Linked DNA regions of Drosophila melanogaster. The gene in region 1 interacts genetically with each later gene. Each region holds a gene or a part of one and is shown on either strand. Other genes may lie near its edges.

Region 1 (5,530 bases):
TGCCATCAATTAACTAGAATCCGGATCGATTATTTGCCGCTCCTACGCACATTCGCACATTGGCATGGATAACATTTAAACGAAGTAAACACTTAATGCGAATTTATGGCCGCCAAATGTCCAATTTGGAATTTAAGCGAGCTTGGCAATGAAGAATTTATGGTTTTTGGTCGCTATTGCGGTTAGAATTTTACATAGAAAATCGAACTGCAAAGTTCAATATAATTTTATGAAAGAATCGATTACCTAACAAAGGACACTTCTCAGGCTTTGATTTTGCTACACAATACAATACAATGCCTTAATTGCAATCATATATTAATATGAGTGGAACTGAGCATAAACTATGTATTTCCAAACATTTTGGCCACCATTTCAAAATTAGCACAATTTGCGCCGAGCTGCAAAAGTTTGTCAGCAGGAAAAAAAGGCAAACAAAAAGTTAATTAAAACAAAAATTACGGACAGTGGCCGGCGGTCGTTTGGTGGCGACTGTGCCGCAGCATTAGCAGTGCAGCCAAAAATGCAGCCGAAAAATCTGCGCGCCATCTAAAACAAAAATTAATTTTTGGGCCAGGGAAAGTTTTTATTTCCCTCCCATTGCTGTTGCTGTTGTTCTTGTTGTTGTTGTTGTTTGCTGGCCAGGCGAGAGTTTGCATTGTTTTGCATATTTTATACGGCGGAAGTGTATACGGCAAAGGCACTCGCCATCATGCCAACTACCCCAACCCAAAAAAAAAAAAAAAAAAGCGAAAAAAATGGTATGTGCAACACGCAAATTATGCAGGCGCATAAGACAAACTTTCTGTTTTGCGGATTCGACAACCGGCGGGATGAAAATTAATACGAAAGCCAAAAAACGGGGTTGCCCCCCCACCCACACAAACATCTAGTTCCTACGTATTTCTGAGATCCAAAACTGCATCGGCAACTGGAGCACCGCAGAGTAATTAAAAATACAGCCAATGGCCAGAGCAGAAAAACCCCGAGCAGCTTGTACTGAAGGAGATCATATCGGCCATGTTTGCAGCCCAGAAATCTGAGTCCCTTCAAAATTTGCATCTAGCATCCATCAAATAGATAAAATTGAAGAAATGTCTCAGCTTGCAGTTCTAATAAAAACTATTAAAAAAGAAAAGAAAATTAAACTAAAATGCATTAAAAAGGGTAAAAGCCAACATGACTATATTGAATTGATATTTTATTAAATGTGCTCTAAGCTCATTTCTTATTGCACTGCAGTTTTCAGTTTATAACGGTATAAAATTCTTAAGTGGCTAAGTAATAAGAAACAGACTTACTTTATTATTACTGTTTCTATATTGTTTTCTTTCGGTTCTAAGCGCTTAAAATAGCTTATATTGTCCCAGACTTTTTGAGATTCAGGCACACAGCAAATGGCTGCCGAATTGCAAACGCGATTTAAATGGGTAATGCCAGGACATGGCGATTGTTTTATAATGCAACGTCCCCACTTTCCACTTTTGCGCCTGCAAGCTTATTACAACGGTTAGCTTTATATTTACTATCCCAAGTCGTGTCCTTACTCACTAATATATCGAAGTTTACTTTCATGTGTATATGGTGTGAGCAGCAGAAGTAAGGCAAGAACGTAAAATATAGCGAAAAAAGTCATGATGTCTCACTTCACATGGAGATGTGATAAATCATATTAAAATCTTATATGCGTCAACGAGATGGCTGCATTTAAGATATTAATCAACTGTGTAATTAACTAATCAACAAAGCGCCTATTTCCAAGTCGACAAACCACAGATTTCATGCTTTAGTTATGCCTGTTTTTTGTCTTTTCGATATAATTCAAACTGGTTTCGACACTGTAGTGAAGATGCTGGAGAAAAAGCGAAATACTTTAAACAAAATCAACAAAACCCGGTATTGAGTTTGGGTTCGATTTGTTTTTTATTTTTTCCTGTCTGCCGGCAGTGGCGACAATCGAAAAAGGCAAAAACCAGCCCCCAGCTATTATTCGGATCCCCCATCACCTCCAACTCGCCCACATCCACATCGATCGATCTTGCTGACGCTGCGAGAGATCTTCTCAGTTTCTCGAGACGATCGGACGACGCACGACGCATTCCGCACTTTGGGTCTATTTTCGTGATTAATTTCGAAGAGCGGAGACGTATTCTAATAGGAACCCATGTTCCATTCTGTAACGTGAGTGCCATATAATCTGCAGAAATCAGTACGAATTCGTCCAGATACTCAACAATTTTACGCATACAGTATGAAAAGCCTTGGTGTTTTCCTACAAAAATAGGTCAAGTGCAGTGTTTGTGTAACATAGTGACCTAAAAAACGTTTAAATTCGTTTTCATGTGGATGAAAAGTGCTGAAAACTGACCGAAGAAAAACATATGCTAACAAAAAGTGCAGTTGGCGCAGTTTGAGAGCTACTGAAAGTGGCTGCCAAAACAGTTTTAGAATTACTCTGTAAGTAATTGTGGTTCATTACTTAGTTTTAGACCAACTACACGAAAAATATATAAAAATAAAAATAAATACATTTTACAACAATATTTTATATTTTAATTTAATACATAAATTAATACATAATTTAACATAATACATAATAATAATGTTAAGTCCTTTAAGACATTTGAATATTTCATTAATCGAGCAAAGTAAAAATAAACAAAATTATATCAATATTATTAAAGAATGCATGTTATTATAAATTCAATAAATAAAACACGTTACAATTAAGTTTTTACCAATCACAAGTAAACACACTTTCTACATGTAGATATGATAACATACATCGAACGCGCGTAAAATTTATGTTGGTACCTTTTTATCAACAATTGTTTGGTGAGCTTTGATTTCACATTCATATATAAGTAGATACAAATGAATAATGAACATCTTTTTTTTTAAATAATATAAATATAAATATTATTTAATAAATGAGCTCAATACTTATTATTCGATTAAGTCATTTACAATATCTTACATTGCTTCCTGTCGATGTAAAATTACATATTTCTACTTGTCTGGCAGCCCTGAAATACATATAACAGATATAATAGCTCACATTACAAAAAAATTGCTTACAAAATTTAAAAAAGCATAGAATTAGTTTGCCAAATTCTTTTACTATTCTGCTTTTAGAAATAAAAATTTATTGACTAACCTTCAAAATAATTAATTAGAAATGTATATTTTGTTCTGGTATTTTTTAGGGCGTATTAGGAATCAACGAAAATGAGTCAGTCTTGTATACCAGTGAGCGCAAAGATGTCGAAGGCAAAGAAGGTTTTGGATGAAGCCCGAGAAACTCACAATCCCGAGTTGGATTTGGCCGACAAGGGGCTGTCGTCCTTCGAGGAGTTGCCCGGACTGTGTAAGTATCAAAACCAAAGGATCTTGAAGGAATTATACGGATTTTTGCACTTCTGAGTAAACATAATGGTGGGTTACTTCCACGCAGAATGGAGCCTCGCCCAGCTGCTAAAAAAATTGTAAATTAATAATATTCTAGCGTATGTATTTATGTTGTGGTAATAATATTCATTTAAAATGAGTCTAAGCATCTTTTTAAATGGAGTCGCTTAGTTTTATTTATTGTGATGACGCCAGCAGCAAAATATGCATAAGTTTGAGTGTAGAGAACGTAAACAAACACTGTAAATACCGCAAATAAGATGTGTATACATATCTGGGAAATGTACTACAACTCCATAACTATGACTTCATTTACATAAAATTAGAATATACTACAATTATTAATCTTAAAACCATTAAATTTTTGAGAAAAAAAAAACATTGCGCATGCCTCTGCTTATATTGTTGTCCCGCTCCAACATTCGGCGTCTATACTTGTTGCCTGCAATCAGCTGTTTGCATTTAAACCCAGTGGTGAATTCACAGTGCATTGGACAATTATGAAAAACAATCTTTGATATCACGAAAAAGGAAAAATATGTATTTTAAAGAGTTTAGTATTCTTATTAATATAATTTTTTTTGCAGTCAACATGTCCAACATCACGCGCTTGACCCTGTCCCACAACAAGATCAGCGTAATCAGTCCGGGAATCGCGAACCTACTGAATCTGGAGATCCTGAACCTCTCGAACAACCAGCTGACCGAACTGCCCGTTTCGCTGTCGTCCATGCCAAAGCTACGCATCCTCAATGTGTCCATCAATCGGCTGATAAATCTTCCTCGCGGCTTTGGAGCCTTTCCGGTGCTGGAAGTGCTCGACCTGTCCTACAACAATCTCAACGAACAGGTCCTGCCTGGTAATTTCTTTGGTATGGAGACACTGCGTGCTCTGTATCTGGGCGACAATGACTTCGAGTATATACCGAAGGAGGTGGGTCAGCTGAAGAATCTGCAGATACTCGGATTGCGTGACAACGATCTTCTGGAATTGCCCCGCGAAGTTGGGGATTTGGTGCGACTGCGGGAGCTACATATTCAAAACAATAGGCTGCAGGTGCTGCCACCAGAGATCGCCCAGTTGGACCTACTGAGCAACAAGTCGGTCATGAAGATGGAGGAGAATCCCTGGGTCAATCCCATCGCCGAGCAATATCTGCTGGGCATTAGTCACGTCATCGACTACCTCAAAACGGAGACCTATAAGATGTGAGTGCACCATAGATCCATATATCCATAAATGTATATTCATCTGATCCTTTTCCTTGACAGCATCTACAACCGCCACTTGCAAGCAGGACGCAGTGGACCGCCGCCACCCAAAGCTGACAAAAGCAAGAAGGCCTCTCGAATTCGCGCATAGTGATTCTCCACCAGAAGATCCCAAGATCCCATGGAATTACAAATGTGTTCGTCTCGTTCGTTGTTAACCAAACCCGTTTTCGTATACTAATTTATAAGTACTTTTAAACTAATGCGTATTTCTGCAATGTGCCTTGACCCTTAGTTTCACTAATGAAAATAAAACAAAATAATAGATGCATATATGTATTCCTGCTGGTTTAATTTCGGATCCTATGCGCAAAAGAATCGTTAAATAAAGACACGCTTGTATATTTTATAAAATAGTAGGTTTTTCTTGTTTTTATTATCTTTTCTCATATTCATTCTTCTTTTTTAAGAAATTTGTTCATAATCATAATTAATTAGTTTACTTAAAGTCAATTAATTAATTCTTTATTTATTTTAATTAAATTAATAGTTAAATGTTTTTTGTTTTTGTTCTTTGTTTTCTATGTTTGAGAAAAACTAAAAGCATAGTTCTGCTTTGTTCGCTTTGAGTTTGTTTCGTTTCTTTGCATTTTTTCACTTGTCAATTTGAATTGAATACATTTTTTTTTTATCAATTTATGTTATTTAATTATTTTGTAAACGTATTTCGCCTTCACTGTATCTGCAATTCAAATTTAATTTATTCCTTAAAGTATATTTTAGTATTTATATTTATATATTTTTTATAGAGTTTATTTACAAGAGTTAAAGATGTTCTTTTACGAAAAGTCTGGCAGAAAAACAAACAAAAATGTAAATTCATTTATTCAGTAAATTTCTCCAAAATGAT
Region 2 (3,845 bases), on another chromosome or scaffold:
CCGGTCTTGTTTACAAACAAATAGTACGTGAAATTATAAGTAGAGGCAGTAAGCTGATAAGAGCGCGTTACGAAACTGTTTCGAAGAAGAACAGCAGTTGGCCAGCAGCTGATAAGAAGGTGAGACAAAGAAGCAAAAATGCCACGCTGCGATAAGCGTGGCGCCTTAAATCGTAAAGTTCTTTTAACTGATGTATTTCGGTAACATAGGCTAATAGCGAATTTAAATTGGCGCCCAGTAGTATTGGGTGTTTATCGATTGACATTCAGGGCTACCTGCCTCGAGAACAGAAGAGCTATCGATAGGCAGGTTGTACAGGGATTTTTTAGTGATAAAGTAGAGTGGTTTTTTCTGCGTCTTTTTCCACGGAAGCTGTTAGTTAAATGAAAAGTAATTTAATTGCAGCAAACTGTGGCTTTAATTAAAAAGGTTTCTCTGAAGGTAAAAAGTACTTTTTCCGTTGAATGCAATTCTTCAAATGTGAACATGCTTAAGTGAAACGCGTGAAATTCCAGAGATTTGCCCATTTTGGCAATATAGGTGTTGTTGTTTTTGTGCTGCGATAGCGCTGCGCAGATCGTCTTCTTGGCTGAAAATCAACCGGATCTGGCTAGAAGGCCGCCAAGCGAGCAGAGCTTAAAGCCAAAAGACACAGATTGATCATTTCTATATGTTTTTGCAGTGTTTCACTCGCCGTGATCAGAAAACGTTGTACACCAGGTGCAACAGGTGCCGTTGTTCGCAAGTGAAAACCAGTTGAAAGCAACTAAAAAAGAAAAGCCCACAGAATGCCGCCCGTGCAGTAAGCAGAATGTTCCGCCCCACTTTCTTAACGTCCTTGTCTTCAAAACGCCCACATATTGCATCATTTGGCAGCATAATAATCATCGTTATCCATTCGCACAAATAAGCATTTCGCTAATTAATAAAAAAATATAACTAATTCAGGCTAGCAGTGCCTATCATTCATGCCCTAATCCAGCGTTAACCCTCTGCCAGTGATGGTGGTGCTTTGGACCCCCATTCAATGCAATTTTCCTGCCAGATGTTTACTCCATCGATGACGTCATGGTCATATTCAAATTTATTTTTAAACGCCGCCACTCGAGTGTGTGTGTGTGTTTGTGCGAGAGTGCGTGTCTGTGTATTGTTTACTCTTCGTATTTTTGTGTGTATTCGTCGGATTTGATTATGATGAGTGGGCCGCTGTTGTGTTGGCGGCAAACCCAATTCCAATTGGATGCTTGAATTTGTAACCCCTTTTGGAGGCCAAGGAATGTTCAATGACTCAACCAGTAATGGGGAGTTGATAGTTACATCTTATTATATATATTGTTTATATACAAACTTTTCAAATGGCGCTCCTGCTTGTAATAATTACTTCAATTACTCATTATAGCCATTCATTGTTATCCAGCTTAAAGCGAATATGATAGTTCTTCGTATATATTTTATATATGTATATATAACCTGTTCCGAAACGATATATCACCAAGCCATCACATCTGCAGCGTATCACGCTTGATATCCAACTGCCATGCGACACTCTCTGTAATGAAAGCTAAACTTCCACGGAATGCCAGAAAGCTTTTTGGCTGTGCATTCGAAGGAAATATGATTCAGACATCGTCAACAGAGCCGGCAAGCGATAAGTCTCATTGTTTTGTCCAGTTTCTCATTTCACGCCCTGCCCTAAAGTCGTTTTTCTTTGCGCTCAAGCTATAACCATGATGTACTCTAAGGCTGAAGTGTAATGGCCTCTGAATTGGTTAGTTACTTACCAACAACTGATCCTGATCTTCTTCTTAATTCACAGAGTCCAGGCAGCGAACATGTCGCTGGGTGCCATGCATTGTACGCGATGTGCCGACGGCTTCGAGCCGACTGAGAAGATTGTTAACTCCAATGGAGAACTCTGGCACACCCAGTGCTTCGTGTAAGTAAACCTCAATGTAGTTGTTTCACTAATACCCTCACTAATAAACATTTTCTAGATGTGCCCAGTGCTTCCGACCCTTCCAGGATGGGATATTCTACGAGTTCGAGGGCCGTAAGTACTGTGAACGCGACTTTCACGTGCTCTTCGCTCCCTGCTGCAACAAGTGCGGCGAGTTCGTCATCGGACGGGTCATCAAGGCCATGTCAGCTAGCTGGCATCCACAGTGCTTCCGCTGCCAATTGTGCGCCAAGGAGCTGGCTGATTGCGGATTCATCAAGAACCAGAACCGCGCCTTGTGTCACGAGTGCAATGCCAAGGTGAAGGCGGAGATTACCGGCCGCTATGTATGCCAAAAATGCCAGTAGGTTTCAAAGGCTTTAGGTGAAAACATGTTGCTAATTACTCTGCTTTTCAGCGGCCTCATCGACGAGGAGCCTTTGCGATTCCGGGGCGAAGTGTACCACGGCTATCACTTCAGTTGCACGGCCTGCGGCACAGAGTTGGATTCCACTGCTCGGGAGGTCAAGAGCCGGCCAGGATTGGCTGCTAACGATATGGTGGGTTTTTTTTTCTTTAGCAAATAAGAAGCAACTGAATTATTATTCCATTATAGAACGAACTGTATTGTCTGCGTTGTCACGATAAAATGGGCATTCCCATATGTGGTGCCTGTCGTCGTCCGATTGAGGAGAGGGTGGTAACGGCGCTCGGAAAGCACTGGCATGTGGAACATTTCGTGTGCGCCAAGTGCGAGAAACCCTTCTTGGGTCACCGACACTACGAGAAGCGGGGATTGGCCTACTGCGAGACGCACTATCATCAGCTCTTTGGCAACCTGTGCTTCGTCTGCAACCAGGTTATTGGAGGCGATGGTGAGTAACTTAATTGAACTATATTCTGGGTTTATTTAATGCGCTCATTCCATAATGCCAACAGTTTTCACTGCCTTGAACAAGGCCTGGTGTGTGCACCACTTTGCGTGCTCCGTGTGCGACACGAAGATGACACAAAAATCGAAATTCTACGAGTACGACGAGAAGCCGGTGTGCAAAAAGTGCTATGACCGATTTCCAAACGAACTCAGACGACGTCTGCGCACCGCCCACGAGATGACAATGAAAAAGAACACCTAATGCCTTGGAGCGAGTCTCAGATCCACACCAAACAGTGCCTTTGTCGTTGTAGACCCGCTTTCACTACCATTTTTAACATTTGAGAAACTAAAACCAAACAAACTAAAACCTCTTGTGCATGTCCTTTCCGTCTGTTGTAATCCGGTTGTGTGTAACTTAAATTTTAAATCGAGAATCAACGGCATCAATAGCTAGGGAACATAACATTGTGTATTAAAAGCCTTTAACGTTGTTATTTAATGGAATTTTATTTATATATAAATGTTTTTAAAATTATAAAACGTAATGCTTATTCGCAATAACTTCGTAATGTGTTTGACCCGATTTAGTTGTGGTGTCAAGTAAATGGCATTTGATGCACTTAAAATTTACAAGCTCAACAGCTTCTGAATAAGACTTCCCGATTTAATTACGGCTATATGGTTGATATATTTGATACTATCAATATGAACTGACTGATGGACCTTCAAAACCTCAGCCAGATAGGAAACCTGTGCTGCATTCGGGTTGTGCGGGAATTCTATAAAGTGTTTGTTCAAATGTTATGCTCAAGACAAATGTTTAATATCCATACCGTCAATCACGCAAAGGTTTGTGGCACAGGGAGCGGTGAAGTCTAATGGATAGCGACGGATATCCATTTCGGTTATGTCCTCTACATTCGTGTAATCGAGGTACATTACCCGGTACTTTGTCTGCTGCCGTGGAACAACTATAATCTGTTCCACTTTGCCACGATACCAGGAACCCTCAAATCTGGCAAGCACATATTC

What was found.
Region 2: of ics (region 1) and stck, changing one suppresses a phenotype caused by changing the other (phenotypic suppression), as found in Drosophila melanogaster (2 studies listed by BioGRID).

Annotation. Positions count from the first base shown.
Region 1 is NT_033779.5:13,638,947-13,644,476, reverse strand, and holds ics (icarus), read left to right. Parts: upstream 1-1,874; 5' UTR 1,875-2,457; intron 2,458-3,204; exon of another isoform or gene 3,205-3,206; 5' UTR 3,207-3,228; coding exon 3,229-3,367; intron 3,368-3,995; coding exon 3,996-4,617; intron 4,618-4,680; coding exon 4,681-4,771; 3' UTR 4,772-5,030; downstream 5,031-5,530.
Region 2 is NT_033777.3:8,356,655-8,360,499, forward strand, and holds stck (steamer duck), read left to right. Parts: upstream 1-1,673; 5' UTR 1,674-1,727; coding exon 1,728-1,750; intron 1,751-1,816; coding exon 1,817-1,936; intron 1,937-1,994; coding exon 1,995-2,300; intron 2,301-2,354; coding exon 2,355-2,496; intron 2,497-2,552; coding exon 2,553-2,811; intron 2,812-2,875; coding exon 2,876-3,072; 3' UTR 3,073-3,306; downstream 3,307-3,845. Other genes in the region: veneno, read right to left, coding at 3,441-3,592, 3,647-3,845.